Linked DNA regions of Arabidopsis thaliana. The protein of the gene in region 1 interacts with the protein of each later gene in a pairwise test. Each region holds a gene or a part of one and is shown in the gene's direction. Other genes may lie near its edges.

The links.
Region 2: the proteins of CUC3 (region 1) and AT4G25740 interact in binary tests that used the Arabidopsis thaliana proteins (3 or more experiments, as listed by UniProt).
Region 3: the proteins of CUC3 (region 1) and IAA14 interact in a two-hybrid assay, tested with the Arabidopsis thaliana proteins (one study listed by BioGRID).

The regions. Positions count from the first base shown.
Region 1 is NC_003070.9:28,668,909-28,680,176, reverse strand, and holds CUC3 (NAC (No Apical Meristem) domain transcriptional regulator superfamily protein), read left to right. Parts: upstream 1-6,131; 5' UTR 6,132-6,341; coding exon 6,342-6,546; intron 6,547-6,678; coding exon 6,679-6,953; intron 6,954-7,623; coding exon 7,624-8,148; 3' UTR 8,149-8,371; downstream 8,372-11,268. Other genes in the region: PHT1;9 (phosphate transporter 1;9), read left to right, coding at 174-1,062; ATL8 (RING/U-box superfamily protein), read right to left, coding at 10,705-11,262. UniProt on the Arabidopsis thaliana protein: Transcription activator. Involved in molecular mechanisms regulating shoot apical meristem (SAM) formation during embryogenesis and organ separation. Required for axillary meristem initiation and separation of the meristem from the main stem.
Region 2 is NC_003075.7:13,102,797-13,113,503, reverse strand, and holds AT4G25740 (RNA binding Plectin/S10 domain-containing protein), read left to right. Parts: upstream 1-4,676; 5' UTR 4,677-4,752; coding exon 4,753-4,755; intron 4,756-4,865; coding exon 4,866-4,914; intron 4,915-5,298; coding exon 5,299-5,578; intron 5,579-5,660; coding exon 5,661-5,781; intron 5,782-5,935; coding exon 5,936-6,016; 3' UTR 6,017-6,368; downstream 6,369-10,707. Other genes in the region: ABCG4 (ABC-2 type transporter family protein), read left to right, coding at 1,144-2,877; AT4G25730 (FtsJ-like methyltransferase family protein), read left to right, coding at 6,786-7,259, 7,383-7,430, 7,528-7,686, 7,780-7,826, 7,897-8,053, 8,142-8,203, 8,575-8,764, 8,881-8,970 and 3 more.
Region 3 is NC_003075.7:8,343,911-8,354,939, reverse strand, and holds IAA14 (indole-3-acetic acid inducible 14), read left to right. Parts: upstream 1-4,676; 5' UTR 4,677-5,016; coding exon 5,017-5,237; intron 5,238-5,428; coding exon 5,429-5,658; coding exon of another isoform or gene 5,659-5,759; intron 5,760-5,795; coding exon 5,796-5,931; coding exon of another isoform or gene 5,932-5,935; intron 5,936-6,243; coding exon 6,244-6,361; downstream 6,362-11,029. Other genes in the region: NF-YB3 (nuclear factor Y, subunit B3), read right to left, coding at 9,792-10,277. UniProt on the Arabidopsis thaliana protein: Aux/IAA proteins are short-lived transcriptional factors that function as repressors of early auxin response genes at low auxin concentrations.

The DNA.
Region 1 (11,268 bases):
AAACCTAATTTGGCAGAAAAAATTGTTTTAAGTAGCTAATTTGTTAGAAATCTCACATCTAATGTCAACCAACTACAGCTATTGTTACATATTTTTTACAAAATTATAAATATTTGAACCTTCCTACAAAACTTAAATATGATAACTACTACATTTTATGACAATTCATGCAGATACACAGCATTGGTTGAGAACAATGTAGTCCAAGCAGCAAAAGACATGCAAAGAGTCATGTCCGTATCAATGATATCTCAAATAACCGAAGATTCATCATCGGAGCTAGAACAACCACCGTCTTCTTCCTCATACAAACTCTTCTCTCGCCGTTTCCTCAGTCTCCACGGTCGAGACCTCTTCGCAGCCTCAGCCAATTGGTTCCTAGTGGACGTCGTCTTCTATACAAGCAATCTCCTTCTCTCTCAAATCTTTAACTTCTCCAACAAACCCCTCAACTCCACAAACGTCTACGACTCTGCCTTTGAAGTAGCTAAGCTTGCAGCCATTGTAGCCGCTTGCTCCACCATCCCTGGTTACTGGTTCACGGTCTATTTCATCGATAAAATCGGTAGAGTCAAGATTCAGATGATGGGGTTTTTCCTTATGGCGGTCGTTTACTTAGTCGCTGGGATTCCGTATAGTTGGTATTGGTCTAAGCATGAGAAGACTAATAAAGGCTTTATGGTTCTCTACGGATTGATTTTCTTCTTTAGCAACTTTGGCCCTAACACGACGACGTTTATCATCCCGGCGGAGCTTTTTCCGGCTAGGTTTAGGTCCACGTGTCACGGGATATCTGGAGCTGCAGGGAAGTTTGGTGCGATTGTTGGCACTGTCGGTTTCTTGTGGGCCACGAGACACCATGAAGAGGACGGTTTTCCAGATGTGAAACGTGTGAGAATCGCGTTTTTGATCCTTGGCGGCGTTTGTATCGCGGGAATGATCGTAACGTATTTGTTCACGCGTGAAACTATGGGAAGATCGTTAGAAGAGAACGAAGACGAGATTGTTTCCACGTCAGCAGGGTCGTCTCCTGCGAATGAGTTACTTCGGAGACAATACTAATTTCAAGATCACGACAAAAGCAATCGTGCTTTGATTTATTACTCTCTAATTAACTCTAAATGGTCCTTGGGTTTTTGATTGTTGATACTAAAGTTTCTTTTTTGTTTTTGTTTTCTCTCAGTCTCATGTTTACATAAATTTTTGATTCCGTGCATATATTTGCAAGAACTCTTCACTATGATCCTTACCTTTGCAAGAATTCTTCACTTAAGCCCATTTGGGCCCATATAGAAAGAAAGAAAAATAGATACACGCAGGGCCGGCCCGTGGCATAAGCCACATAAGCGACGGCTTAGGGTCTTGAAATTTTAAACCTTTTTTAGTCAATTTAATTTTAATTAATCAATAAAGCTGAGTAAAAACTGCAATAAGTAGGGAGACTTTTATAGAAACATTAACTCTTTCCAAATCATTACATTAGTTGCAGATTCCATTTTAATTACTAGGGAGTACTTTACAAGAGATTTTTTGTGATTCGTGAGGAATAAGTGACTAAAAAAAGGTGGATGTGATTATTAAGGTCATATAATATTGTTTTCATATGTGGAGATTGATTTTGAGTTTACATATACCAAAAATTTTAGCCATGCATGTTAGTCTATCACCCACTCTCATAATTCTCAAACAACTATGTCTGCAAGTTGCCGAGCAAGTGTTGCAGACTGCAATTGTTTAGGATTTCATAAGTTATTTAATTGCAAATTCTTAACCAATTAGTGTTCTTAAGCTTGTGCTTGAAACTTATCATTTATGATTTATGTAACGTTTTCTATATTTCTTGGTTTATTTTTTGTTTGCTTTTGATGTTTTATGTTTCTTGTATTTTTGAACTATGGGTCGTTTAAAGGAAAAAACACTTATGTGAGATTTTAAGTAGTAATTTAAAAGAAGAAAAAAAATTAATCTCGAATAGGGCCCTCAAAAATGTTGGACCGGCACTGGATACACGAACAGAGTAATAAAGCTTTTGTAGTTCAACACACGAGTAATAAAATTAAGTCTTCTTACGTTAATTTAATAGTTTCCCTAACAGGAATATAATTTAGTAACAAAGAAAGGAATGTAACTAAAATAGAAAACAGAGCATCAAAATAAAACAAATGTGGAAAGACTCCTTTTCCCTCCCTCTAACCTACGCCGTCGCCGGATACGTCTGTCTCTCTCTACATGCTCACATTCGAGTTACATTTATGGATTAACCTACCATATCGTCCTTAATACCACCTTTATATAACTCATTATGAATTAGTAGTACCTTTTTTTTTACTATATAACTTCATTATAGAAGAAACTGATTTGAGATTCTTAAGATCTAGCTAATAGAAAGGTTTTTTTGTCTAATGTTATTTTCTATATAGAATTTATATACCGTCTTTTAACAACCAACTTTATTCTTTAGTCGCATCTTTATGAGTTTTTTTATTATTATACGAATTTTATAGCGACGAAAAAAGTTACTAACAGTAGGAAAATTTCACATAAAATTCTAGATATTTAGGAAAATAAAGTATTGTTAAGAACTTTGGGGAAAATCTGAAAACACAACCATGATCATCAATTAGATATTTCACCTTTTGGATCTTTGTGACATGAATATGCATAGTCGTGCCAATTACTAATTAGAGATACAATACAAACTATACAAGCATAAGTTTGAAAAAGCTTTATCCAGAAACTCAATAATACTATATGATATATGTGCACGGTTTTATTGGTCCCCCGGCCCCAAATATGCAACTTTTCGCCCATATTTATGAAGGCTTCGTCTGTCCCAGTATCCTCAAAACCTTTCACATTTATTGCCATCCACTGTACGGACGTCTTATAAATGTAATAACACTAATCTCCATAACCTCATACTCGCATCATATTATCACTATAAGCTGGACCAAACTTATTCATTAGCCAAAAGATAATTCATAAATATACTTACATCACTTAACATTACAAAATTTATACTCTACGAAGCAGACTACTCGCTTAACATTATTGTATATAGGCTATGATTGCTACCCCAAAACGAATGATGAAATGATTATTACATTTTGTAAGATCTATCAATCATATAATGATACGGAAAATATAGGGATTAATTTATAGTATTAAGTCAAGCTTCACATTTTGATCATTTAATGATTTGGAAAAAAAAAAAAAAAGTGGTAGAAATTAAAGAAGCAAAATTTGGAGGAAGAAAAGATAGCTTGTGAAGGGAAATGAGTGAGAGGTCGTTCTCTGGTGGAGCAGGTCGGTGCTGCCATTGTCCTTTCCTCTTCGTCCTTCATTTATTGTTTCTCCACCTTCTCCTTCTTCTTCCTCTTCTTCTTTCCTTTTTTTTTTTTATTGCAATTTTTCTTATAAGTTAGTGATGGAGGGTGACTTAATTAGAGTTTGTATCTAGTCGAATTCCAAAAAAAAAAAACAGTAAAAATTGGTGGGTCAATCCACTTGTGTTCTGAAATTTTTTAAACTAAAATATCTATTTCGATGTGTAATATATATTTTTGCAGTTTAACTTTAACATTTATAATTGATATTACTCATTGTTTTTGGTATTTTCTCTACAGGTAAACTTTATTTTTGTTGTCATTTTTCTAAAATAAAATATTGTAAAAGCTTTTTAAAATGGACTTTGATACAGACATTTTAAATACAAACAGACAAAGACGAGCAAGAGAATAGGGGACCCTCTTTGTCATTTGATTGACATATACAGGTATATACTATAAAAGAAATGTGACAAACAGTCATCTATATTCATTTTAGTGATTTTTGTTTCACCTAATCTCTTAAAGTTTAAGTGTCACATTATACTGTATATTACTAGCCCTGTAATTCTGAAACAAATTGGACTATTATTTTATACACTAGTTCTGTTTACACAGACCAGTACCGTTTCTGCTCCTTAACTGGATTAACTTTAATTTTTACTATATCAATAAATAACTGAAATAGTGCATGTTACTGAAATGACGTACGAGTACAAAAGATTTCCAAATTATTATACCAGATACACATATTCTGCCAAGTTTAATGATATTATTATCGCAGACAGATTAGTTTTAAAGGATGAAAAAAAATATACTTTGACAGGGGCCAATAATATTGTTTTGTGACGCAGGTGAACAGCACTATAATATATATAGCAGACCGATGGTATCACTTGGGCAATAATTAAACTGAAATAGAAAAAAATAACAATTTTGAAAAGGATAAAAAAAGAGAGTCACAGAAATATTATCAGAGCTATAAAGATTATAGATCCCCTGACGAAAAATAATTTAGATTGTAAATAGTACAGAAACTATATATAATAAGCATTTAATAATGGATAGGCTTAGGTAAGCCTATGCAAGTACAGCAGGTTTTGAATTATTGGATGAAACATTTGTTTCAAATATTAGATTTTAATTTTTATAAATCTATTTGTGTAATACTTATATATATATATATATTTAAAAATGAATATTATAGGGTTGTGTAGGGGTTAGGGTAAAAGAATGACTTGGGAGATTTAACATAAGATCGTGTGGGCAGTTAATATTTAGTGAGATAGATAGATAGTGTAGTACGTTTGCATTTATTATCTTTTTACCTGATTCTTTTGTATCATTCTACACACACGTGCCACCGCCGACACCTGCTATCTTTCTACTGTTTCATTTTAATTTTTATCTTACATTTTTGTCAAACATTTAATATCGACAATATGAATTAAAAGTTTTTGTTTCCAATTATTTTTCTCACAATAATTTTTTAAATAGTTGTGTTGAGACACTTGACGAAACTCATGCTTTATGTATTGTTGGTTTACTATAAACCGAACATGTTTGCTTCGTTTTTTTTTTTTTTGAAAAAATGATAGTAAAAATATGTGTCAAAACCGAAACACAAACAACCTTATATTCCATTTTTTATTATGAGGAAGAGTATAGAATCAACCGAACCAACAAAAGAAACAAAGTGTAATACACAGAATTGAGTTAACCGTTGGAGAAAGTGGTTAAAGGAAAAATAAGGAAACGATCGAAAGGAATTGGTATATATCTGAGGGGAGAATGTGTATAAAATAAAAGAAAAAAAGGTCTGACTCATGAATGTATAATGATATGCTTACACCCGCACGCATAAACCTCTGCCATCTTTTTACTGCACACTCTTTTCCTTTTCTCTTCTTTAAAGTCAATTTTATTTGCTGATAACCACAAAATGTAGCAATTTTAGATTACATTATTTGTTTCACATTTCTTGAAATCTGAAAACTTTTAACTGCGACTGCAATTGTTTTGGTTGAGAAATCGATCGACTTGGAGTATGAGATTACCTTCTTATCAGTGTCTTTAGTATAACGGTTGCATTGCATATATATTTCCTCTCAAACTTTAATGATATCAGTTCAACTAGTCTGGATCAAATGTAATATTGATACTTTCCTTGAAAACACATTATTTGGTGCGTGGGAAGAATGATCTTAAAGAGATGATAAAGGGCACTAGAGTTTTGGTTTTCTTTGTAAAATAGTGTATTTATGCAAAACTCAACATTATATGGATGTTTGCATTATGGTATTTTTCAACTAATATACACCCAAAACAGTATCCTTATTAAACAGCTCTCTCTCTCGTTTTGTTCAAACTAACAAGAGAAAAATGTCAGCTTTTGTTGAAAAATAGATAAAAATTATGACATAAAACCCAAAACCAAAACGTCAACACCATTTATCATAAATTACATTTGTAGTTAGCTAAAGTACAAAAACAACACTGTAAATGATCCATTGACCAATCGAGTAGTCATTAACGAAAGATCACAACTTAACATCACCCAGTCTAATCAAAACTCCAAGACCATAAGAATTTTGCTAAAGCAGCAGTATAGTGATAAACACACAAAACGGGAAAAGTTGTTTTACAATTTAGAATGTCATATACTTTAATTATTATTTGCATAGGGAAAAATAGAAAGAGACTCACTCCCCAGGTGAGGGCAAATAGAAGCCCCTGCTCCCTGAATTTCACAGCCTTTATCATCAATGCTCCTCTAACCTCAAACACTCAAAATCCACACATCTATACACATACCTCTACATACACACTCCATTTTCTCTCTCTATCTCTATTATATCTTCGATTTATGTGCCATTTTGGTATATAAATATATAATCTTGCACACAATAAGGTTATACTTCCCATCACCTTTTGTATCATTGCTATCTTTGTTCTTCCTTCTGGTGTCTCTTCAGTGTAACAAAAAGTCTCTTTTTCAGTTATATTAAGTAAAAGATGATGCTTGCGGTGGAAGATGTGTTAAGCGAACTCGCCGGAGAAGAAAGGAACGAGAGAGGATTGCCACCTGGCTTCCGGTTTCACCCGACGGACGAAGAGCTCATTACCTTCTACTTAGCTTCCAAAATCTTCCATGGTGGTCTCTCCGGCATTCACATTTCCGAAGTTGATCTCAACCGCTGTGAACCTTGGGAGCTACCAGGTAATATATTATACATTTTGTCTCTTCTTTACCTCATAAGTTTTATTTTGGAATCTTGTTTTTAGTTGAATATTTTGATAAATCTTTTAACAAGAAAAAAGTGTAACGTTTTGAAATTGTTGTTATATGAAGAAATGGCGAAGATGGGAGAGAGAGAGTGGTACTTTTATAGTCTAAGGGACAGGAAATATCCGACAGGTTTGAGGACTAACAGAGCAACTACTGCTGGATACTGGAAAGCTACCGGCAAAGATAAGGAAGTCTTCTCCGGCGGAGGAGGACAGCTTGTTGGGATGAAGAAGACGTTGGTGTTCTACAAAGGTAGGGCTCCACGTGGCCTCAAGACTAAGTGGGTCATGCATGAGTATCGCCTCGAAAACGACCATTCACACCGCCACACGTGTAAGGTAAATTAACACTCTTTTACTCTCACTCGTGCGTCTCACTCTCACTCGTGCATCTCTTTCTTTAAAAAAATTTGTATTTTTTCTCTTGTCAATTTATGAGTTGACTTTTTGAAACCAAAAATTTTATACTACTAGTGTGTGAAACTAGTAATTTAAACCCTGTTACTTTTATTCCCACACGTCCATTTCTTATAACATTAAATTCTTTTTAACTTTGCGAATGTAATAGAAATTTGATGTTTTTGTTCTCCATTAATGTGTTAACTTTTTAAATCCACAAGTTGAAAAGAAAGGTTTAACGAAATATTTAACTTTTTTTTTCCCATTTCATGTGTTTTGTTTCAATAGTATTGTCACTATGTTGTTTGGCTTAGTATGGGGAGGACAGGGGAGAGAGCAGTTTAGATGTGATAGATTTGATATAAACCTGTACGTGTGGTGTGGATGTCAACACCAAACACACCTTGCCGTTTTCTGTTCACCGATACACTGTTGTGTCGTTTTCCATCACTATTGCTTTCTTTTGTATCCCACCTTTCTAATTACATTTATCATTATCAGAAATCAATTTGTCAGGCTCACATTTCAAACAAGATCTTAAGGTGTAGGCATTATATAATGTGTAATAACATGTTTTGGTTTTTCATTTCTTTTTGGTGGAAATTCACAGGAGGAATGGGTGATTTGCAGAGTGTTCAATAAAACAGGAGACAGAAAAAATGTTGGATTAATCCATAACCAAATCAGCTACCTTCATAACCATTCACTCTCAACAACACATCATCATCATCATGAAGCCTTACCTTTGCTTATAGAACCTTCCAACAAAACCCTAACCAACTTCCCATCACTACTCTACGATGATCCACACCAAAACTACAATAATAACAACTTCCTTCATGGATCATCAGGCCACAACATCGACGAGCTCAAAGCCTTAATCAACCCTGTCGTCTCTCAGCTCAACGGTATCATCTTTCCTTCAGGGAACAACAACAACGACGAAGACGACTTCGACTTTAACCTCGGCGTGAAAACAGAGCAGTCTTCGAACGGTAACGAAATTGACGTACGAGATTACTTGGAGAACCCTCTGTTTCAGGAAGCGAGTTATGGTCTGTTGGGTTTTTCGTCTTCTCCTGGACCTCTTCACATGCTACTAGATTCTCCATGTCCTTTAGGATTCCAGCTGTAGAATCTTGGCCCTTGGATTTTATATTTGGTCTTTTCTTATTTTCACCTTCTGTAAAATACAAATTATATAAATTATTATTCCTAAGATCCAAAATCTTTTGTCGAACAAATTTCTTAAAAGTTATGTGGCTGATTGCTGTAGCCTTGCAGGTAAAAGCTATTATTGTGTTACAACTTTTGATGAACTGTATTTTGTGGGCGTTTCACTATTCGATGTGATCTCATAAATACCAATAATATTTGCAACTATTCTGACGTCATTCTTGTTTATTTATTCTTTTTTGCTTTTGATAGACTATCCCTCATATTCATTTTTTTTTGTTTCTTGTTTTGAAGATTTTTTTTTTTTGTATGAATTGTGTTCATAATTTTGGGACTGCAAAAATGACATTTTCTGTTACAATGCTAAATTGGACCGGTTAAGCGGGCTACAATGTCTTTGTCAGTTTGGTTTACCTGCTTTAGCAAGTTTGGTCATAGTTTCGGACTATGAAGCCCATCACCAGCGAGGCCCAGAAGTTGACTTTAACTAAATATTAAACACCAGCGAGGCCCGCTGATAAAATAATATATAACGAATTATGAAAACTAATTTAAGTTTGAAAATAGATGGTAAACGCCTAAACGAGTAACAATTGTTATGTGGTCTTATTCTTGATATATGAATGATCGATAAATCAAGATTTTCAGCTTTAAAATATAATATAAATTCATGATGCATTCACATATAAATTCCCTAACATAAAATACTTAGTTTATTAGATATGTAGTCTTATTCAAGCGTGAAAGTTCTAAAAGAAATTGGTTTCTGCTCGTCAAATTTGAATTTGAACATTACGTTGCCTTCAGATATTGTCAACCGATGATGATTTTTATTTAACTGTAACACCACTACCTAGGTAATAAAGCATTCATGGAAAAAAAAAAACTAATGTGTGGCTTACTTTTTTTTTTTTTTTTTTTTGTCAATAACTAATGTGTAGCTTACTAATAATGCAAAAACAGGAATGTGGGAATCTTCGGCCAGATTGGGAATTTTGGTCTCATCATTTTTCTATGAGAATTTATAGTTCTTCCTTTTAACAAACAAAAAGCATGCCTTCACTTTCGACTTCCTACTCTTTATTTGTGATTCTACAGAAATAAATATCCATTACTATAATAATATGATAAGAGAGCCACGCAATATAATGCTATCATCTATCCATGATCCATGGAGATAAAAGCCAAGAGATATATAATAGATCATGCTCATGCATCACACGTACAATTTACAACTAACCATATGTAATAGTACTTTTAAAATAAACATAAATAGCTCAATTTTTTTTTTTTTTGAAGAACAGTAATGCTTGGACATTCAACCTCTTTGGGTTAATGGTTATAGCTTGCTTTTAGCTCGATAATTTTTTTTTTTTTTTTTTTTTTGTTGGAGCATTAGCTCGATAATTTATTTGTTGGAGCATTAGTGAATTACTACCATTACGAGCTATATCATCAAAACTATAGTCGTTAGATGAAAATTAAGATGGATATTTTTGTGGTAGATCTATATTCAATGTCAATTATGCAATCTAATGGAGAACATGGACGCACTTTCCATAGTGGAGAAACTCGTGATGAATGATGATATCTCGCGGTGGTGGACCATCACTATTCATATGTGTTATACTCAATGGTTAGACGGCGAAAGAGAAATAATCCATAATCAGTTATTTTTTCGTATGCGTGATTATCTACATCTTGGCTAATTATTATTAAACTACGTTCAAGTTGTCGTATCTCGCACTTTAGTTGTATTCTTTAAGATTTTGGCGATCTTTTGTTAGGTCATTGTTCGAAGACAAAATAAGCTCATCTTCATGGTCATTTTCGAAGTTCTAATAATTTAAAGTCGTGTCTGATGATTTAGTGGGATACAGTCTCGTGTTCCCAATATTTAAATACTTTTAACATAAAACATGAACAAATTAAATATACAAAACCCGACAATTAGTTTGCTGCTTTATTAATGGAAAAGGGAAAAAGAAATCTCACACAAAACACATTACACCATCTGTTCTACGTATACTGGTCCATCTGTCTACTTTTCCCATTAATTATGGAATATTCCATTAGTTAAATCGAATTTGTAGCAACGAACAACCAACATTTTAGGTAGACTAGAGTCCCTTGATGGTTTTTGTCAAAGAATATACTATGTATTTTTATTTATTTCTTTGACAAAACCATCTAAGGCAAATTTTTACTCCGGATAATTAGGATTGTAGTTACGTATAAATGGTGTGGTCCAACGTCTTAGTTTCAAGTTCTGGTAACTATTTCTTGGTCTCTAGCTATATAAAGTTTACATAATACATTGACAAAAACAAATAAAGGGTTAAATGACATAAAGTTTCCATTCCATGATAGATTTACAATAGATAATTAAATATATACATGACAGAGTAACATTATCCTTTAAAATGATAAAGAACACTTTTTAATTAATATTATATCTTTGTTTAATCGAATTCCCTTTATAAAAAATAAAATGGGATATGTCTAAAGAAAAGAATCAAGGCAAGTTATCAGGACCATCTTCACGTTGTTTGATTCGGGTATCGGGTTCGGGTCCTGAACTTGAGCTACCGGGTAACCCGCCACATTTATGACACCTGGTAACCACCAAGATTTGACGGCAAGAAGGACAAGAAGAGTGTGATCCAAGCCACGTGTCGATACACGATACGTGGAAACCATGTCCACACTGCGGCAACACCCTAAGCTCGTCTCCGGCGGCGAATTCCGTTAAACAGATAGCACACTCCACGAGTTTCTCCGCCGGCGGAGAATCCGGCGAGTAGGTGAGTTTCGGTAACGACCGGAGGACTTTCTTTTTCAATCCTTTGTTGGCTGCAGCTACCGGCGGTGGATGAGTTTGATCCGATCTGTTTCTTGAGGCGATACGGCGGAGCCAAGCGCATCGAGAGACGGCTATTAAGCCGATGATACATGTCAGTGCACAAAGAAGAACCGCAAGGATGAGGACGAGGTCGGAGTTGAAAGGCGGAGAAGCTTCAGCCGGAGATGTAGAATTGGCTTCTTGGAGAAGACGGAAGAGAAGGCGCGCCATTGTTAA
Region 2 (10,707 bases), on another chromosome or scaffold:
AGTTGCTTTTCACACATTTTTTTCAATATTGATCCACATTCAAATGGGCTTATTTCTGATTTCCTAATGTCAATTTTCTTCTGTTTAGCCCTGCACTCTGTTCTTGTTTTTGTACCCGTTAAGGGGCTTTGAAACAACATGCTACTTTTTATTATGTGTAGAAATTTAGGAAAAACACAACATGAGATACGGATATATTGATGGCCAAAGAAAGTGAAGAGAATGCTTTATTAGTATAACAAACTATATAAACATATCACATATGTGATATGTATAACAAGTTACTATAATATGATTCAAATTCTGTTTAGAATATTTTCTTTCATAGATAAAGAAATTGTACCATTTACAATTATTTCACCTATTAACTCCTAAAGTTTATTCATTTGCATGTACGGTGATATACCTAAAGTAAAAGCAACCACAAGTAACTATAACTAACTAACGTTTAAGCCAGATTGTTTTTATAGAAACTCCTTCAAATCCAGGACTGGTCACGTCATTAATATGTAATTGTAAAAATGGTTTGGCAAATTGTGTGCCAAACAAACAAAGGAAGATGCAGAGATTGGGAAATAGACTTGTACGTGATTTGCAATTTTCTGTGTAATAATTGTCAGCAGGCCCGTGACCTTTATCTGCATTCCCCTTTGGCTTTCTTCTTCTCAGTTTCTCAACAATATATATTCACTATGACACACATGCATATTCATTTGATCCATCTTTACATGTTTTCAATAAATGTGTGTATACGTAACTGTTAGCAAGCTTTCTTTATGAGAATATATCTAAGAATTTTCGTTTCTTCTGGATCCACCTTCTCACTAATAACTCCATCTTAATTTGGACTTGAATCTCTAATGATCTCTTCAATATCTGACTCTCTCTTGTCTTACTGTCGCATCCTGGTTACATCACCGTTTGACCACAATTATATTCGATGAGTTCTATGTAACGCAAAATTCAAAATGACAGAAAAGACAAAATAATTAACCAAAAGGTCAAAAAACAAATAAGAAAGAAAAAAAGACTGAAAAATTGTCAATTTCATTGGAAAATACAAAACATTCCAAACTCAAGCATCAATAAATTCTCTTTACAACACTCACTTCCCTTCTCCAACCTTTAAACATTTCTCTCAAAATGGAGTCGTACACTTTATCCACCTCTTCCATCTCCTACGCCAAACCTCTTTCACCGCTCCTCCTCACGGCGGAGCAACCTTCCTTCATCCTCCGCAACATCACTCTCACCTCTCATCCTTCCCAAATCCTCGCCATTATTGGCCCTAGCGGCGCCGGAAAATCAACTCTCCTTGATATCCTTGCCGCAAGAACCTCCCCGACCTCAGGCTCAATACTTCTAAACTCCGTCCTTATTAACCCTTCTTCTTACCGTAAAATCTCCTCCTACGTTCCTCAACACGACACCTTCTTCCCTCTCCTCACCGTCTCCGAGACCTTCACTTTCTCCGCCTCTCTCTTGCTCCCAAAAAACCTATCAAAAGTCTCCAGTGTCGTTGCTTCTCTCCTCAAAGAACTAAACCTAACACATCTTGCACATACAAGACTAGGTCAAGGCTTGTCCGGTGGTGAACGCAGGAGGGTTTCAATTGGTCTAAGTCTTCTTCATGATCCGGAAGTACTACTCCTCGACGAACCCACCTCGGGTTTAGACAGTAAATCCGCTTTCGATGTCGTTCAAATTCTCAAATCTATTGCGACGTCCAGAGAAAGGATCGTGATCTTGTCCATACACCAACCTAGCTTCAAGATCCTGTCTCTCATCGATCGCGTGTTACTCCTTTCTAAAGGAACCATTGTATATCATGGAAGGCTTGACTTACTTGAAGCATTCTTGCTCTCCAAGGGATTCACGGTTCCTTCTCAGCTGAATTCTCTTGAGTACGCTATGGAGATACTTCAGAACATCCGTGATCCCTACGAAAACGCCAACATTGCTCTTCCAGACCACTGCCCTGAAAGTAAAAAACAGAACCAAAAACAGAGCATTGTTCGATATAAAAGCTCGAGAATCACCGAAATAAGCCTTCTCTCTAGCAGGTTTTGGAAGATCATATACCGTACAAGGCAGTTGCTTCTAACAAACATCTTAGAATCTCTTGTAGTCGGTCTTGTCTTAGGCACTATCTACCTTAATATCGGAACTGGCAAAGAAGGAATCAGGAAACGATTTGGCCTTTTCGCATTCACCCTCACATTCCTCCTCTCCTCCACTACCCAAACCCTTCCAATATTCATTGATGAACGACCTATTCTTCTCCGAGAAACCTCAAGCGGACTCTACAGACTCTCCTCTCACATTCTTGCAAACACTTTGGTTTTCTTGCCATACTTGCTACTCATCGCAATCATCTACTCTGTCTCACTCTATTTCCTTGTAGGACTCTGCTTTTCATGGCAAGCTCTCGCCTACTTTGTGCTCGTAATCTGGATCATTGTCCTAATGGCTAACTCTTTTGTACTTTTCTTGAGCTCTCTCGCACCTAACTACATTGCTGGAACATCTTCAGTGACCATTCTTCTTGCGGCTTTCTTCTTGTTCTCTGGTTACTTCATCTCTAAAGAGAGTCTTCCCAAGTACTGGCTCTTCATGTACTTCTTCTCAATGTACAAGTATGCGTTGGACGCACTTCTGATAAATGAGTACTCGTGTCTGCACAACAAGTGCCTGGTCTGGTTTGAGGAAGCTTCTGTGAATAGCTGCTTAGTTACTGGAGGTGACGTGTTAGACAAGAATGGGCTTCATGAGAGACAGAGGTGGTTTAATGTTTATATGTTGTTAGGGTTCTTCGTACTATATCGTGTTTTGTGTTTTCTTGTTTTGCTTAAAAGGGTTTCGGGTTCCAAAAGATAAATGCTTTTCAATTTCTTAAGCTTAATTTTATATATAAGGGATTTTCTTGTTTCTGTAGACTTCGTGGTATATACACAAAGAAGCAAATTAATTGATGGATGAACACAAAGAAGCAATTTATTGATGGATGAGTTAATGAAAGTATAAATTCCTTTATTTTTTTCGTTTTATACATTGTTCTATCATGTATTTAGTGTGTATATCCATGAGCTTCACATACATTCATAATGTCACTAGAAAACCAAGAGAACTATTTGATGTACTATCTAGCCTTCTATGATTGGGTTACGTGTGCAGGGAATATAGAGAATCTACTGGATTAAGAGATATTTGAGCCATGTTCGTGTATCTTCTAACTTGGCCAAAAAAAAGAGATCGTCACGGGTCTACATGGTCTTCACCTCCTCTGGAAAACCATATCAGTTTATACATTATTGTTCTAAATGTATGTACAAATATAAAATTAAAGGTTTATTTAAAAGTTCAGTTGTGATTTGGATTCATGATCTTGATTGTTTTATCATTTATGTTAGTGGCCGTGTCTTAAAGCGATGTTAATATTCATGATTTCATCTATTATTGTTGCAGATCCTAGACTTTACTTTGGGTACATCAATTTATACGTCTGCTTATCCAAAAACAAACAGCGAGCTACTTTTTTTTTTTGGTCAATAACAATGTAAAAAAAAATTGTTTTGGTTAAGAAGTAGGCATTCACGATGTTGACAAACAATAAAGTAGAAATCAATAAATAGTTGTGCTCAAGTTGACATACAAAATGCCACATCTCTTTTGTATTCATGGGTTCACGGACATGCAACTTCATTGGTCGCCCGTGAACATTTTTGTTTAGCAAGTAATTTTTGTCTCGACCAAGCTGGCTTCCTGACTCAGTTATAATCCAAATTCATTTTTTATTACTAACTTCAAAGGTTTACTCAAAAATTTAAAATTCATATGTATATCACGTTTTAATCTTGGAGTTTGGGAACTTGAATAGGATATATGTGTTGGGACGTCCGTCATTGGTATCCGGTTTCAAACTTGAGAAACAAGGAATACGTTTCTTGAGAAGCAAGGTTTACATTACCACCTAATCTACTTAACATACTCCATCAGCATGTCTTTAAGATTGTGTTCCTCAGCTTGAGTCACTGAATCAATATGCAAGCAGCTTTGTTCGCCCACTACAAAATTGGTTCTGACCGTGATGTACGGCTGGAGAAAGCAACATGAGTTGTTGGGACCAAATACTTGTGTCTCCAAAAAACATTGACGTCTACATTATTTTATGACAAACTTGTCCGTTGACTTCACTAGGTGGCGAGTGAAGGAGTAAGATTGGATTGAGTAAAAATTTAAGCCTAGCATGAAATCTAGCGCCGAAACCTTAATGAGTGAAGATCATATAGATACACAAATCCTAGAATGTGACTGTAATTGAATGATTCACTTACCAAACTACAAGATTTTAAATAAAATCTCAATTCTCAAATTCATAATTTCCAACTATGGTGTTTTAGTGGTTGCAAATTAATCTGTTAGTCCAAGAACAAGAATTTGAATCATCCTACTATGATTTAATTCATTGTTGGTCATTATTATGTGAATTTTTTTTCTAGGTCAGCCTATGATTCTCCCGTTAACAGAAGAAAATTCACTATGGGACTCCGAAATCTAATATGGAACCGGTTAACCATCTAACCGGACCATGTAAAGGCCAGCTTTGTAGCAAATAATTATTAGATTATCAGCCCAATAAAAGCCCAAATCCGTAATATATAATCTAATCGTCTTTTATCCGCAGAAAACCCTATTGCTCCCCTTTGCTCAAGCTCAGTGCCTCTTTGCAGCGAAAGCTCAACCAACAAGACGATGGTATACACATACTCTGCTTCTACTCTGTTTCTCTAAATTTACATATTTACTGAATGTAATGGAAGGAATTATCCGAGTATTAATTGTGATCTTGTTCGTCCTTTTATCAGATTATCTCAGAGAACAATCGCAGAGAGATCTGCAAATACCTTTTCAAAGGTTTGTGAGTCATGCTCTCTTTCATTTCCTTCTATTTTCAGCTAGTGGAACCAGGTTTAAGCTAGTTACATTTCTCTAGGGATCTTCGAATCTAAGCTTGTAGTGAGAAACAATTGCATTGAAATGTGAAAAGATTTATGCTTGCTTTCAGCTCCTTTTAGGCCTACGATTTTAGATATGAACTTGTTTATAAAGTAGTATTGTAAGGTTCAGAGTAATTGGAATGCTGGATCTAACAATGTTTGTTCATAAGTTATAATTCTTGAAGAGTATGATAGATTGGTATATAACTGTTGAGGGATTTATTATCTAGTACTGTACTCAGTTGTCTAGAGAAAGAATTTGTGTGGATACTAAATGATCATATCTTACTGGGTTTCGTAGAGGGAGTATGCTTTGCTAAGAAGGATTTCAATCTCCCAAAGCATCCGTTGATTGATGTACCAAACCTGCAAGTGATTAAGCTCATGCAGAGTTTCAAGTCCAAGGAGTACGTTAGGGAGACATTTGCGTGGATGCATTATTATTGGTTTCTGACTAATGAAGGAATTGAGTTCTTGAGAACTTATCTTAACCTTCCTTCCGATGTTGTCCCTGCTACTTTGAAGAAGTCTGCTAAGCCCGGTGGTCGTCCCTTTGGTGGCCCACCTGGTGATCGCCAAAGGTAGTTTCATCTTTAAATCCCTTGACCTGTCCGGTCTGAGGGATTGGCTAATTTCTGATATTGTTTTGGCTTTTGTTTTCAGAGGACCACCTCGCTCTGATGGAGACCGTCCCAGATTTGGTGACCGTGATGGATACCGTGGAGGCCCACGTGGTGGTGATGAGAAGGGTGGAGCTCCAGCTGATTTCCAGCCGTCTTTCCAAGTAAATCTTCGACTTACTAATCACTCCTAGTTTACTGAGCCTATATGCCTTCCACTTACTAATCACTCCTAGTTAACTGTGCCAATATGCTTCGTTTAAAGTCTTTTAGCTAGTTGATGAAGAGATTGTCTAACAGCGTGTTGTATGTTGGCAGGGAGGTGGTGGTAGGCCTGGTTTTGGCCGTGGTGCAGGCGGTTACAGTGCAGCAGCACCATCTGGTTCAGGGTTCCCTTGAAAAATTTGTTGTCATATTGCGACGATGGAAGGACAGTTTTGTTTTTTGTTCTAGTTCTGTTTGTGTAATGCAAATCTGGAATCTATAATCTATCTATTACCTTCACCTTGGTTTAAACGAACAAATCCTGTAGTTTCAGGATTAGTGTCAAAATTCATGTTTCTTACTCTATCTGTCATGGAATTAGGTTTGCCTTTTTAAGAACAAGAAGAGGGAGACCAAATCTGTCTTCTTTAGTAATCTAGTGTGGTAAAATATTGAAGTGGAAATGTGTATTAGAGAATTCGTCTTAACTTCTACAAAAGACAAAAGGGATTCAATGCTAAATTGGAATTTGATCCAATTTCTTTCTAGTCTAATCTTTGAACAATATCCTTACAAGAAATTTTTTATCGGACATAGCGCAACTCTTTCTTTAACGTTGAACAATAAATCCAACTTCGTCTAGATGTTAGTGTTCCAAGAACAATCCACTTGATACCTCAATTTCGTCTGTGTTGCTTCCAATACAACATCTTGTTTCTTAGATTGTTGACAAAAAAGTTGAGCTTCTTTCTAAACATATTAAAGGGCCGTTTAAGAAGCCCATCAGAAAGAGGTTAAAGGGCCTGTCCAAAATAGAAATTTGAAATCCTCTCTGTGAGACGAAGGGTTTACACTAAGGCGGAATAAACCCTAAACCCTAGCTGAGTAGCTTCTTCCTCCCCAATTGCTATTTCTCTGCCTCCGTGTGCTGAGAACCAGAACGAAACCCTAGCAAAATATCGCCATGGGTAAGGTCAAAGGAAAGCATCGTTTGGATAAGTACTATCGTCTCGCTAAGGAACGTGGATTCCGTTCTCGAGCTTCCTACAAGCTTCTTCAGCTCGACGCCAAGTACTCTCTTCTCCACTCAGCTCATGCCGTTCTCGATCTCTGCGCCGCCCCTGGTGGTTGGATGCAAGTCGCCGTCGAGAAAGTTCCCGTCGGCAGCCTCGTTCTCGGTATCGATCTTGTCCCGATTCTCCCTGTTCGTGGCTGTGTTACTATGACGCAAGATATCACAAGGACTGAGTGTAAATCGAAGATCAAGCAAGTGATGGAGCAGCATGGTGTTAGTGCTTTTAATTTGGTTCTGCACGATGGGTCTCCAAATGTTGGTGGTGCGTGGGCACAAGAGGCTATGAGCCAGAACGCTTTGGTTATTGATTCTGTTAGATTAGCCACTGAGTTCTTAGCTCGCAACGGGAATTTAGTCACCAAGGTCTGCTTCTGAAATAAACTTACTTTCCGATTGTTTTATTTTGAATTTGTTCTGTCTTTGATCTTGTGCCATCAGTGATGTGACTTTTCTGAAATTTTGGTTTATGTGTGTTTCTGCTCTTAGGTTTTCAGGTCTCGAGACTACAACTCTGTGCTCTACTGTCTTGGGAGGGTACTGTTTGTTTATAACTCTGATTTTTTCTTTTTTCTTTTTCATTTAGATGTGTGTTCCCGAGCCTTTTTTCTTATTGGCATTTTTATTGGTTCAGCTGTTTGAAAAAGTTGAAGTGTTTAAGCCGCCGGCTAGTCGTTCAGCATCTGCAGAAACATATCTTGTGGGTTTGAAATACTTAGCCCCTGCCAAGATTGATCCCCGTCTTCTTGATTATAGACATCTCTTTAAGGAGTCAGCAGAACCCACGAGAAAGGTAATCACTATGGCTTATTTGGTGTTTGGAGTTGTTTTTACAACTCTCCCATTGTCCCTAAAGTTTTGTGTGTAATACTACTTGTGTTTGCAGGTGGTGGATGTGCTTGGAGGATCAAAACAAAAGAGAAACCGTGATGGGTAGGCAAAATCCGCCATCTGTTTTTTCTTCGTTATAGATGAACTTTTTATAACCGAGTGTAATTTACAGGTATGAAGATGGGGAGTCCATTTTGAGAAGAGTTGCATCTGCTGCTGATTTCATTTGGTCTGAAAATCCTCTTGACGTTCTTGGCACGACTACTTCCATATCATTTGATGATCAAGCCTCTCTACCTTTAAAGGAACATGATTTGACGACAGAGGAGGTACTGTTTCTAATTTTCCATACCTTTGCTAATCAAGTATTTATGTCCTTCTCTACGCCATGGTAACGTTTTATTTTTCTGTTGGTAGATTAAAATTCTATGCGATGATCTTCCTGTCTTGGGGAAGAATGACTTCAAGCATATCCTAAAGTAAGAACAGTATTATTGACTCCTTCATGGATCTTTTTAATCTTTATGTCTCACTTGTTAATTTCTAAGCTTTTCCAAGGATGTGGTAGAGCTTTGACTAAAATGAATTCAGCTATTGTAGAATTAGTTAGCTGTAAATTGGTTCGGTAAAGAACGGTTTCCTTAGCACTTCAAGTTTTTACCTATGCTGTTTTGAGTGCTCAACCCGATAAAGCACTGTGTGAAATGGGTAAACGGGTGTCCATGGGTGTTAGGAATTGGCGTGTGGGAAACTACTGGTTTTGTTAAGACTTTAGCATTTGTCGTCATCCATCTATGCGTCTAGAAATTATATTAGTTGCTTAATGGTCATTGAACTCTCTATTTTGTAGATGGCGAATGCAAATCAGGAAAGCTCTGACTCCTGAGAAAAAGGAAGTTGCTAAACCTGAGCCTGATGTGGGAAAGGAAGATGAGGAAAATGAAGATGATAAACTACTCAATGAATTGGAAGAGCTGACAAACACAGTTGACCGCAAGAAGAAACAGGCAAAGAAGATTCTTGCAAAACGAAGGGCTAAGGTTATTTTTAACCTTATGATAATAACCTATCAAGTCTTTATGTCTTAGTCAGTGGCCTTAGTGATGGATCCCTTAGACTTTATACTTCCTTCACTAAATTCAATATCTTTTGCCAGGACAAGGCGCGGAAGGCGACTGGTCCACAGATGGATGTACTTGAAGATGGTTTCGTCGACAATGAATTGTTCTCTCTTAATGCTATCAAGGTACTTCATTTTTGATACCATCTCTGCGGAATTTTGTTTATTATGATGGCATTCGAAGAAGTGTTTATTACTCTTTCATTGGTTGAAGAGCATTCTCCTTTCACCCTGCTATCAGTTCTTACAATTCAATTGTTTGAACATATCATTATATTCTGAATGAGATTGTAAAGATTTTCATTTATTTTCTTTACAGGGAAAGAAAGATCTAATGGCAGTTGACAATGATGAAGATGATAATGGCAATGCCGTTGACAGTGAGAACGAAGACCATGGCGAAGGAGCTTCAGATGACTCCAAAGACAGTGACAGAGATTCTGATGAAGAACGTCAGAAGTACGACCGCTAAACCTATACCTTTTTGTAGATTATAGAGTGCTGTTACAAGAACGTCGTATATTTCTGAAGTTTGTGGAGTTACTTCATCTTAATAGTCTTTTTAACATTACAGATACACTGAACAAATGGAAGAGATTTTTGAGCAGGCATATGAGCGGTATATGGTGAAGAAAGAAGGAAGCGCAAAGCAAAGGAAGCGGGCTAGGCAGGCCCATGCTGAAAAGCTGGAGGTACTATCATTTTCTTACCCCAATTTCTTAGGATAGAACAGATTTTTGGAACTAAACACTTTTTTCTTTTTGGCTTTGCAGGAAGGTGATGGAGATGAAGAAATGAAGATCGATTACGATTCAGATATGAATGAAGAAAAGGATGAGGCAAACCCTCTTGTTGTACCACTTGATGATGGAGTGGTCCAAACAAAGGAGGAAATATCCAACCAGTGGTTCAGTCAGAATATATTTGCAGAAGCCGTGGAAGAAGGAGACTTGGGAAAAGATGACAGTGAAGACGAAATAGCAAATAAGAAAAAGAGCAAAAATCTGTCTAAACCAGACAAGTCAAAGCAGAAGGCTTCAAAAGCAAGTGTGTTGTCTGATCAGAGCTTGCCCAATAGCTCCAAGAAGGAAGATGAGTTTGAGGTAGTCCCTGCACCAGCCACAGATTCTGACTCAGATTCATCCTCTGAAGATGATGTTCATACCAAGGCCGAGATACTGGCATGTGCCAAAAAAATGCTGAGGAAGAAGCAGAGAGAACAGATGCTTGATGATGCATATAACAAACACATGTTTGTAGATGAAGGTTTACCAAAATGGTTTGTGGATGACGAGAAGCAGCACAGACAACCAATGAAACCTGTTACGAAAGATGAAGTTAATGCAATGAAAGCACAGTTCAAAGAGATCAATGCTCGTCCAGCCAAGAAGGTGGCAGAGGCCAAGGCACGGAAGAAGCGAGCTGCCCAGAAAAGATTGGAGAAAGTGAGGAAGAAGGCAAACACAATATCTGACACAGCAGATATATCAGACCGTTCAAAGGACAAGATGATAGACAAGCTATACAAGAAAGCAGCAGAGCCAAGAAAGCCAAGGAAAGAACTGGTTGTGTCTAAGAAAGGAGTTGGGGTTAAAGTTGGTAAGGGACAGAAGAGAGTGGATAGGAGGATGAAGAGTGATGATAGGAAACGTGGGGGAGGAAAGCCCGGTAGGAACGGGCAGAAGGGCACTGGTAAAGCAGGCCAGAAAGGAAAAAGGCCTGCTGGGAAACCTCGGGGAAGGAAACCCGGGTAAGACCTCAATGTCGAATGAGGCGAACAGGAAGTTTTGTTACGTATTTTAATTTAAGTTTTGGCAATTCTTGACTTCTGGATTTACTTGTTTACTCTGATAATCTGTGTTC
Region 3 (11,029 bases), on another chromosome or scaffold:
ACCAACATTATGTATCGTACTATCAGTGCCAGATTCTCTTATTTATGTCTATGGTTTGTGATCTATGCATGTATGTAGGACCTTGTTTATAAGTTGATCTGCATTATTATCCTTTATACTCCAACTTTACACTTATCATCAAGTAATATAAATTTAACCACTGGGATATAAAAATAAAATTTGACTTTGTAAGGAATTATTGAATCATATAAATATATATCTTAATATCAGATCAAAACCATAAACTTTCATGTAATACATTAATGCGATGTCGCTATTCACACATTTAGATCCAAGAAACTTAAAAAGTGGTCCTAAATCGGGACTTTGCTTCACTTACAAGAACAGTACTATTGTTGATGTTCTATGTATATTATTGTAACAGATGATTCAAACTGAATCATTTGCTAAACAACAAATAACCAACTGCTTGAGTACAACTACATAACGTGACAGAGTATATATTGATAAAAACAAATTCAAAAGTTGTAGTTACGTCGATAATCAGCTATTGTTTTAAAAAACAAAACCTTTGAAACAAATAATTGATCTCTGCTAAGGTATAAAGAATCGTAATCAAAATTTTAGTTTACGAATGCGTAGCTAAATCGGAATCATATATTTATTCAGTTGTCATATTCTTGTATGTTCATAATTAATTATTCTTTATGTTAGATTATTTTTTCTCAGATGAGAAGTAATTTTGGTAACAGAACATTTTGTGAATATGTGTTCGAGTTTTCGTTTCTTGGGAAGATGTTTAAAGTCTCTTTCCTTAGTTCAGTTGATTTTTGGTGTTATTTACAACTATGAACAAGTACAGTACATTCCATTGGCATGACTATCCAAATGTCCAACATTTTTTTTGGTTTGTCACGTGTGAGGGATGTGTCTTTAATCAAGTAGTTAAGTCCATCTGATTCCACCGTTTCTATCAGAATTCGATTCTACTAAATCTCGTTACCTCGCGTAGTAAAAATAGACCATATATCGGACAATGTTGATCCAAAGATGTTAAAAGAAAAAGATACCACGTGCCAGAAAAATTACATAAAAAGTTTCAAATCAAATTCACTCAAGCACTAGACTATCAAGGTGTTCACATATCTTACACTATTAATATGTTATTACAAGTAATAAATAAATTTGGGTCGTATACGTTCTCCATCTATGAACATATCAGTTTGTTTGTTAGTCCAGACCTAGAATCAACTTCACTTCGTCAACAATATGGTCATTTAAAGTATGAACCATATGTTGTTCAAAAAAAAAAAAAAGTATGAACCATATGATGGTTGTAATGTTGAAATTACTCTTAACTTTCGTTTAGATTAACCATGATGGTTATAATGTTGAAATTAGTCTGACTTTCGTTTTAAATATAGTTTTGATAGATGTAAGAATTAATTATTTTGTTTGGAATATATATAAGGGTTGTGTATACCAATCGTGAATTGATTGCTAAATAGAAAATCACGTGGTCAAATGCAATCTGTTGTGGTCACAGGAGAGACCACAATAGATTTACATATCATAAGAACCAACACGTATAACTTCTTGAAAATGGCTTAACATTATAACCCGGACCATCTCATAAATCTCCTTCTACCAATCAGTCACTACTTTGTTTGGACCTGTCTCGTCTTGTCTAGTAGTATCGTTGGGTCACATAATTTAGATAAGTATAAAACAATGTGCCTTGAAAACTTTTCTCGTGTAAAAATTATGATTGAATTATCACAAAACTTTTCTCACATTTAGATCCAAAACTCGAATTATTTGCCATAAAAAAAAGATGATATGAAAAAAGAAACAAATAATTCGAGTTTTGGATAGTATCGTTGACAAAACTTTTGGATATACTATACTTCGACTGTCCAAATTCCACACCTTTACCTTTTTTGGAACTAAAAACATAGGTGGGTCACATAAAAAAATTGTAGGGATTACATTTACGTAGACATCCGTAGGTAAAACAATAAGGTAAACATTTTTAAATTTGTATAATACGATATCAATTAAATACGATATGCCTCTCCACTACCACTAGAACGAGTAAATGAGTTTATGGCTAAAAGTCAAGCGGAACTGCGGGAGCCTACCATCTATAATGCATAATGAAAAATAGATCCACGTAGTCAAACAATATCCACTCTTTACATCTACCAAAAATCAATAGTATCCACAAACTATAGAAGTTCACCATATTTACGCTTCATGTTGTAGAACTTGAAATAGATAAGATTCAAAACCCTAATCATATGTGCATGAAGATAATTGATCGTACGCATTAATTAACCAGTTAAGAAGAAAACAAAAGGATTTGATGAGAAAATTAATTCGAGGGACAAGTGCATATGTTGTTGCATCTAATGAAAGGTGTTTATGCAGAGAAGAATTTGTGGTTGGGAAGATGGACAACGAATAAGATGATGAGTATGAAAGATGCTGCGAGATAGGAAAAGGTATTTTCATTTTATGAATATGTATTATATTGGTTTAGAAACGTTATTGAAAATCTAAAAGAGAACAATAATTAAAAAGATAAAAATGAATGAGAATTTGAATGGTGGGAGTCATAGAAACAATGGGTTATTGGGGGAGTGAGGGATGTTGACAAGGCAAAAACATAGCCTTTGAGGGTTTGGTATGTTTATTGCTTCCCCAATTGGATGTGACTTGTCTCACTATCTTCACCGGATTCAATTGAATAGTACTTTGACTAGGGAAGATGTGTTTTCTTGTGGATATAGGTCGGAGATCGAGTTACCCATCAATAAATATCTACTGTTCGTGTTTTTCAGTCATATTCTATGCATTAAATGTTAATAAAATCCGATCTTTCAAGGATTTCAAAAATTAGTATTGTTTGGGTTATTAGATTGTTCTTGCTATCAAGAAAACCAAAAAAAGGAACAAGCAATGTGTCTTTGTTCGACAGTGCACCACCAATCTGAAAATAATTAGACTACTTCTTGGGCAAAACATTTATTTAATTTTTCTATGCTCCTAGAAAGTAGAAACGGCAAATTACGTAGATAAGTAGAAACAAGTTTACCAGAAATCTCCAATGTAGTGCAAGTAGAATTATTCGTTGGGCTCTCGGAACTCGGAAGCTAATGCTAAAATAGTCCATCATGAATGTAGTGCATCTGTTTTACTAATGGTTTGTGCTAATTAATGTTGTTTATATATGATAGGCTTCCGCATAAGTGATGTTGCTTTTTATTTTATTTTTATTACTAAAAAGTTTAGGCCTAGGAACATACGTCCTCTCAAACTAGAGCATTTTATATGGTTTCTTTCCAAATGTCATTACAACTGGTGATTTCTAGGTTTTGTCTTATAGTCTTTAACAATTGAGCTATTAACACTCAGTAAGTAATGTTATTGACATAAAAGAAATGTTTATTTGTAATATGATCAAATTTAACGATATATTATCAACCAAATAGTTTTATAATAATTATTTGAATACTAATAAAAATAAATATAAATGACTGTATATGTCGATAATATTAAATTTACATGATCTTGATTTACTAATACTCAGTTAGATTGTAACTTTTAATATTTTCATCAGATTTGAATATCAACTTTTGCTGGATATTTTAACTTTTTAAGTAAAGTATTCATTATGGTGTTATTAATTAAAAGGATTATGTATCATTGGAATATTTTATTGTATCTAAAATAATAGTCATTTTATTTCCAAAGATTTCCAAAGGATATTATCCCATAACCACAAAACAATGGGTGGTATAGTTTATATAGAGATCGCAAGTAAAATCCATGTGCACTTTTAGCTTATTTAAGTTTTGAACGGCTCATTATATTCTTATTATTTTTGATATCCAATGATTAACTAAAATCAATGATAAGAAATTTGATTATAATACGTCTAAACAAAGAAAATGTAATTGAGCATGCTAATAAATATAGTCACAAAGCCGCACTTTCCGTCGAACAAATTATACGTTCATGTGTGGTTATACTTGAACCACATGATTGGAAGGTTCGGAAGACAAGCTTATTTTAATTTGATTATGCTCTTTAATAATGATTTAATGGACAACTGAACAAGCCCATTTTCCTAAAATTGCCCCATCATTTCCCGGAATTTCAGGACAATGTTGAGAGAAGATGGTCCAAATTGAAGTAAAATATATACTAAGATTGTTATCATTGATTATTTGTTGTACGTCTTAATTAGGATCAAACTTAGTTGGTCATAACTATTTTCACCGATGCTGACTTCGAAAGTTTTAAGAAATATAATTATATGATTAAATCATATAATAATGTTGACCAAATACGATTCACGGAATTTTTACCGCCCAATTTCTGTATACATGTGATGTGATACGTGAAGAGTTGACCAATGGAGGCAACGTCTAACAAATTGGTAGGCAATTAAAAAAGTACATTAATCATAGAAGTGATCAATAAAGACATTACTTAGACATGTTGAAAGAGGTACTCATGTTTTTATAATATCATTTTTATTTACTCGGAATCTTAATATATTTTCATTTTTATTTACTTAACATATTTTGGGCAAACGTATGTTCGTATTTTCAAAACCTAAGAGATGTAACAATATCATTCAACAATCAACGGTCATCACTCATCACCTATACTTTTCAGGTTATTGACATGAAAGAGTGAGATTTACTAAAACAACCTACCAACGTTTAGCAGAAGGCCACGTGTTGAGAACCCACATTGCAAGAAAATGTAGGGATTCCATGCACTACAGCAGATACACAATAGACCTTTGTATTTTAATAGTTAAAGAATTAGAAAAGTCAGACGACTAATCACGGGTTTAAACCGTTTTTTTTCTACCACTATAGTATAGTACTATAGTCTCTTTCTTCGTCCCTTATATTATCGACTCTATCTCCTTACCTCATTCTTGTTCCCCTCTTATCAAACTTCACCCCCAACAAGAGTTATCGAGAGAGAGAGAAAACATATTCTGATTTAAGACATATATAGACAGCAAGAAGAGATATGAACCTTAAGGAGACGGAGCTTTGTCTTGGCCTCCCCGGAGGCACTGAAACCGTTGAAAGTCCGGCCAAGTCGGGTGTTGGGAACAAGAGAGGCTTCTCCGAGACCGTTGATCTCAAACTTAATCTTCAATCTAACAAACAAGGACATGTGGATCTCAACACTAATGGAGCTCCCAAGGAGAAGACCTTCCTTAAAGACCCTTCTAAGCCTCCTGCTAAGTAAGTTCTATTTACACAATTCCTTAAGAAGAAGACCTTCCTTAAAAGGGAAGACTTTTTTTTTTTTTTTTTGAGATAAAAAGACTAATAGTTGATATAAAAGTTCTTAAAATACATATATATGAAAGATGTAAGGATGCATAAGTAATAACGTTATTGAATGTGTGTGTGTGTTGTTATATTCTATGCAGAGCACAAGTGGTGGGTTGGCCACCGGTGAGGAACTACCGGAAAAATGTTATGGCTAATCAGAAGAGCGGCGAAGCAGAGGAGGCAATGAGTAGTGGTGGAGGAACCGTCGCCTTTGTGAAGGTTTCCATGGATGGAGCTCCTTATCTTCGGAAGGTTGACCTCAAGATGTACACCAGCTACAAGGATCTCTCTGATGCCTTGGCCAAAATGTTCAGCTCCTTTACCATGGGTATGCATTTTCAGACATATAAGTCGAATTATCATTATTATTTTTGTGTTTACTTACAATTTTTTCTTTTTAACGATACAGTTTTTTCCATATACGACTAATTAATATGATAAGTTTTGGGATTTTGATTAATTAAGGGAGTTATGGAGCACAAGGGATGATAGATTTCATGAACGAGAGTAAAGTGATGGATCTGTTGAACAGTTCTGAGTATGTTCCAAGCTACGAGGACAAAGATGGTGACTGGATGCTCGTTGGTGATGTCCCCTGGCCGTGAGTTTCCTCATTCTTCTTGCTTTCATTATTATGACCAAAATTATTCTCTAAACAAAAAAAACAATATTCTCTAAAGCATTATTATTGATATTACTTATCAAAAAAATACACAAAATGATAATCAATATCCATGTGTTATAAACACGCACAGCCATCTTTTGGTTGGCATGGGACAGAACTCAGAGACAGAGAAGATGTTTATATATAAATACTAACTCATCAATATGTTACCTCATTTGTAGCTGGCACATATTCTTTCACTTTCAATAGATTTCTAAATTTAGTCACCAACCCAAATCCCGATTTCAGGATGTTTGTCGAGTCATGCAAACGTTTGCGCATAATGAAAGGATCCGAAGCAATTGGACTTGGTAAGTTTTCTTTTCTGTTCGTTTCTATAAGTGGCTCTTTTCTGTTTTTCCAATAATGCTCGTGTTTTTTTTTCAGCTCCAAGAGCAATGGAGAAGTTCAAGAACAGATCATGAACAAAAAAAAAAGAGGACAATATGCATTGATTTTTTTTTTTTGGTATTGTTATGATCATGTGTTTTTAATTTAAAATATTGGAAGTATATAGGAAAATATAATTGTTTACGAAAAAAATAACTTTAAATATGTCTTTTTTTTTTTTTTTGAAATTAGTCTGTGTTTTTGTTTTCATCTCTTAATTAGTAGAAATCATTTTTTAATATGTAATTGTGATAGTAAATCTATAGAGTTCGTATTTTTGCTATTTAAAATTTAAAATGCTAATACTATATATAATTTATGATAGGTAAATTTACGTTAAATAATTTATCTCCACTTTTCCTACTTTATTATTCTTTTCCTCTTTATTTTCTCATTTATTGGCTTTACAGATTATATTTGAAATTTGTAACTATTTTTGATGTATCTAAAAACATTTCACATAACAATTTCTTAAGAAAACTAAGAAAACTGTTGGTATATTTTTTGACTAAAATGGTTTCCAAAAAGATTTTGAAACGAACTAAAATCTTCATTACAAAACCAATTTTAAAACTACAAAACAAATATTCATGGTTTTAAGTTTCTTTTTTCTTTCCTAGTTACGTGGGAATACGTTATTAAATTCAGGACCCATGAGAGGCGTAGGGAACAAGAGCATGTGCATATTCATGGGTCTTTCAAATTCAGTCCATCCTCTTCATGCTAATGTGCCCTTCACCACTAGAAGCATAAAAATTTTCTTTCCTTTTTGGAAAATCTCTCTGTTTCTTTTTTTTCAGTAAAAATTAAGATTTCATTTATAAAAAATATCATAAGGGGTAAAATACATATGCCGGGTAAGAAAAATAACCAGTTCAGAAGTTAAGCCGGCGAGAAAACGGATTTTCTAGAGACAAATACATATACAAAAAGGAAAAATTCCAGAATAAAAAAAACATATTAAAACTGATCCAAAACTTCCCAAACTTATCACTTAAGAACTCAAAAATCTAATACAAATTCTAAATCCAAATTAAAACAAAATATAGATCTGAGATTAGAGATCCATTCAAAGAAAATAAAATCAATATTCTTCTTACCGTAAACGGCGGTGAGACAAACCAACACCCGAAGACCCAAAGGAAAAAAATCTCATAAAGAAAGGAAGGAGATCGAGATCTTCAATGGTGAGAAGTATGCATCTAAGGCGTTGAAGAATCGAATAGATCTACCTCTGGCATGGTTGGAACGACCAGAACTAAAGCTGTAGATGAAGGAGTAAAAAACAAGCAGCAAATCCCGTAGATGAAAGGATTTAGACTTTATTGATCTAGATATGAGAATTTAGATCTTAAACCATTGGAAGAAAATATGATTCAGATCATACCAAAACAAAAAGAAATCAAAACTAAAGAAAGAAAGTAAAGAAACCTCGCTTCCGATGCTGAAAAAAGCCACTGAAACAAGTAATCTTAGGCAGCGGCGGAGAAAGCTTTTTTATAGAGAACATAGAGCTTTTATTTTAAGAGACAGAAAATTTTTTATTAAATCAAAAGTGATTTTTGAAGTGTTTGGAAAATCTCTCATTTTTCCTTCTTTTTTAATATTTTACAGAAAGTTAGTTATTTGACACAATAAATTAAAAATTATTATTAATTTCCCATTAATGAACTGAAGAATTCTAGTTACTCCTACAATGAATGATAGTTTGGATAATTGATGAAATGATTCCGAATTATTCTCCTCCCTAAATGCTTGGCATAACATCAGAATATCTAAACCATTAGTTCTTTAGTTGGTTTTGGTATGGCATAAGGTGAGAATTCCTAAACATGCTTTCGCAGTTTATAACTCTTTATTTTTAACCTCAACCCTACTATTGATAGGATTTTTTTTGAGATGTCATGTTGAACAAACTTGCTTTAATGTGGCATTGAGGGAGAATCTAGGAATTCACCACTTGCACTTAAATTATTCATTTTCAGCTCAAATCTGAAACAAAATTATGGTAAAGTTGTTGCCTACAACCCTACCTATTGAATGATTCCAGCACCATCCGCCTGTCATCAACAACTTCTACAAGCAATGACATCTCCATTGCACTGCTTCAAGCATGTCATGCGTGTGTTTACGAGGTTTGGCATAAGAGTACCACATGCATCCACAACGCCACAACTCTTTTCCAGCTTCGCTCTACTACAAAGTTCTCAATGTTGTGAGAACAGAGCACAAAGCATGGTCCTTCACGACCCAAAAAGGGTAAAAGCTTCTCCTATTGTATTGCTTTGGAATGTTTTGGAGAGATCCTTCCTATACAACTCCTTTTTGGAGTGATTTCTTGAAAGCTCTACTTCGATGGAAGAAGCACTAGCTGTACGAGCTATTATTATCATGAGTTTCTCTTTAATCTTTTGAAATTAGTCTTCAATATGGAGTCTGTCATGGAGACTTTCATTTAGGTTCGTCGGAACTTCCTATCTGATAAATTTTCAAGCCTTTGTCGTTATTTATAATGTATCGTTTCAATCTTGTTTTTAATTCTACACCGTATGATCTTCTCTGTTTTGAAATTCAATGTTGAATACAATTTGCTTGACAAAAACAATAATGGAAAGCAGTTTGGTTATTGTAGTCATGGTATTTGTTGATAATTCTTTATTTTTTCCTGATTTTACCTGGCTGATGTTTTGTTTAGTTTTTTGATAGAAACTTAGTTTTGATATTTGAGTATTGCTTGTAAGAAAAAATCTTTGAATATTTGTGGCATAACATGGACTAATGGAAAACCCAAGCTCTTAAAAACCTGGACTCAAATATGAAATTTTCGCATCACAACACTTTAAAAGAAAAACTAATATTACATGCTGTGGTTTCGGGCCTGGAGGAATTACGGGCTTCGGCCCAGAACCTCCTGAATTTCAAAAAAAAAAAAAAAAAAAAAAAAGATCAAAGATCAAAGATCAAAGGTTACGTTTTAGATATGCCCTTGATTACATCTCATGTTCCCTGCATCAAAGTAGAAAAAGTTTTTCAATGACTCTTTTTAGCTTGATGCTATAATTATATTCCCACTACAATTTTTTAGGAAACATTTTACTCTAAAAAAAATGTATGTCTCTCTCATTTGATTTTTCCTCCTAATTCAACCATAAACTTCGATATCCTAGTTTACTTTTGTTACTTTCATCTTTCACGAATAAACACCCTAACCTTCTTTTATTCTTTTTTTTTGAAAAAAGTAACACCCTAACCTTACGAATCATAAATTTAATATTTATTTTGTTACGTTAGTGGGTTGAACCTAGTTTTAAAAAAAAAATTCTGTAAACATTATACTAAAAGTTAAACATATATATATATATATCATTAATTAATAAAAATGAAAATTTGCTTTTATCATTTTACAATTAAGAAAAATGATGGGAAAATTGATGTCCCATCGTAGTCACCATGCCACCACCGTACATCGGAGCTCCTCCACTTCCACTTCCAGCTCCACCGCCTCCTCCTCCACCTTCCTTATCGCCTTGTCTCCCTGCCGTAGTAGTCTTCTCTCCTTCCACCTCCCTATACTTTTGCAGATAAACCTTGAGAGGCTCCACGTAGTCCTCAAACCCTAGCGTAGTCATCGCCCAAAGAAGATCGTCACCGTTGATTGTCTTCCTCTTCTCTCTCTGACACTTGTCAGAAGCCTCACCGGTGATGAAACTTATGAATTCCGATACACACTCTTGAACCGTTTCTTTAGCATCCTTAGAGATTTTTGCGTTCGCAGGAAGTGCTTTCTTCATGATCCTGCTAACGTTAGCGATCGGTAGAAACCTATCTTGCTCACGTGTCGAAGCATTTCCACCGTCTTTGTGTCCTCCTGAATCGTTGTCCGAATCCGCCATCTTTAGATCGAGGAGACAAAAGGTCGAGAAAGAGAGATAGATGTTTTGGGTCCGTTGGATCAGAGAGGATAATAATCGTATCGTGATGACACGTGGGTAGTTATAGGTCGATTGTTTGTCGATAAGATTATTACAAGTGGATGTTATTTGGATAGAAAAGGAAGAGAGAGACTTGATAACCGGTTCTGTTTTTTCGGTTTGCCTTTATTATAAAAGACTCTTGAGTTCTGGTTATATATGTACTTTTGGTTTTTGTCGTTTATATCATGAAATCAAAAAACAAAACCCCTAATTCAGATTTTATTAAATTGATTTGGGCCAAAAGAAGACAAAATTTTGAATTTCCTCTTGCAATGGGCCTGATACGGGCCTAGATCCCTCCTATAAAACCACCGACATTTTTATATATACAATTGTTTCTAGGTTTCTTGTTACATACACTATCTATAAAGAGAGAGAGGTAGTGTCCCTCAAAATCTCTGTGAAATCAAAGAAAGCAGAATGGGAGGACTAAAGAGAAGAATTTCGATTGAGAAGATTCAGAAGAAAGAGTCACGAGCCGTTTGTTTCTCCAAACGTCGTACCGGTCTTTACAGTAAAGCCGCGGAGCTATTATGTCTTCTCTCCTCCGATTCACAGGTTGCGATCTTGACGACTCCTTGTTCTTCCAACTCTCACGTCTCCTTCTACTCCTTCGGCCATTCCTCTGTTGATTCTGTTGTTTCCGCTTTCCTCAAGGATCAGGGTCTTGT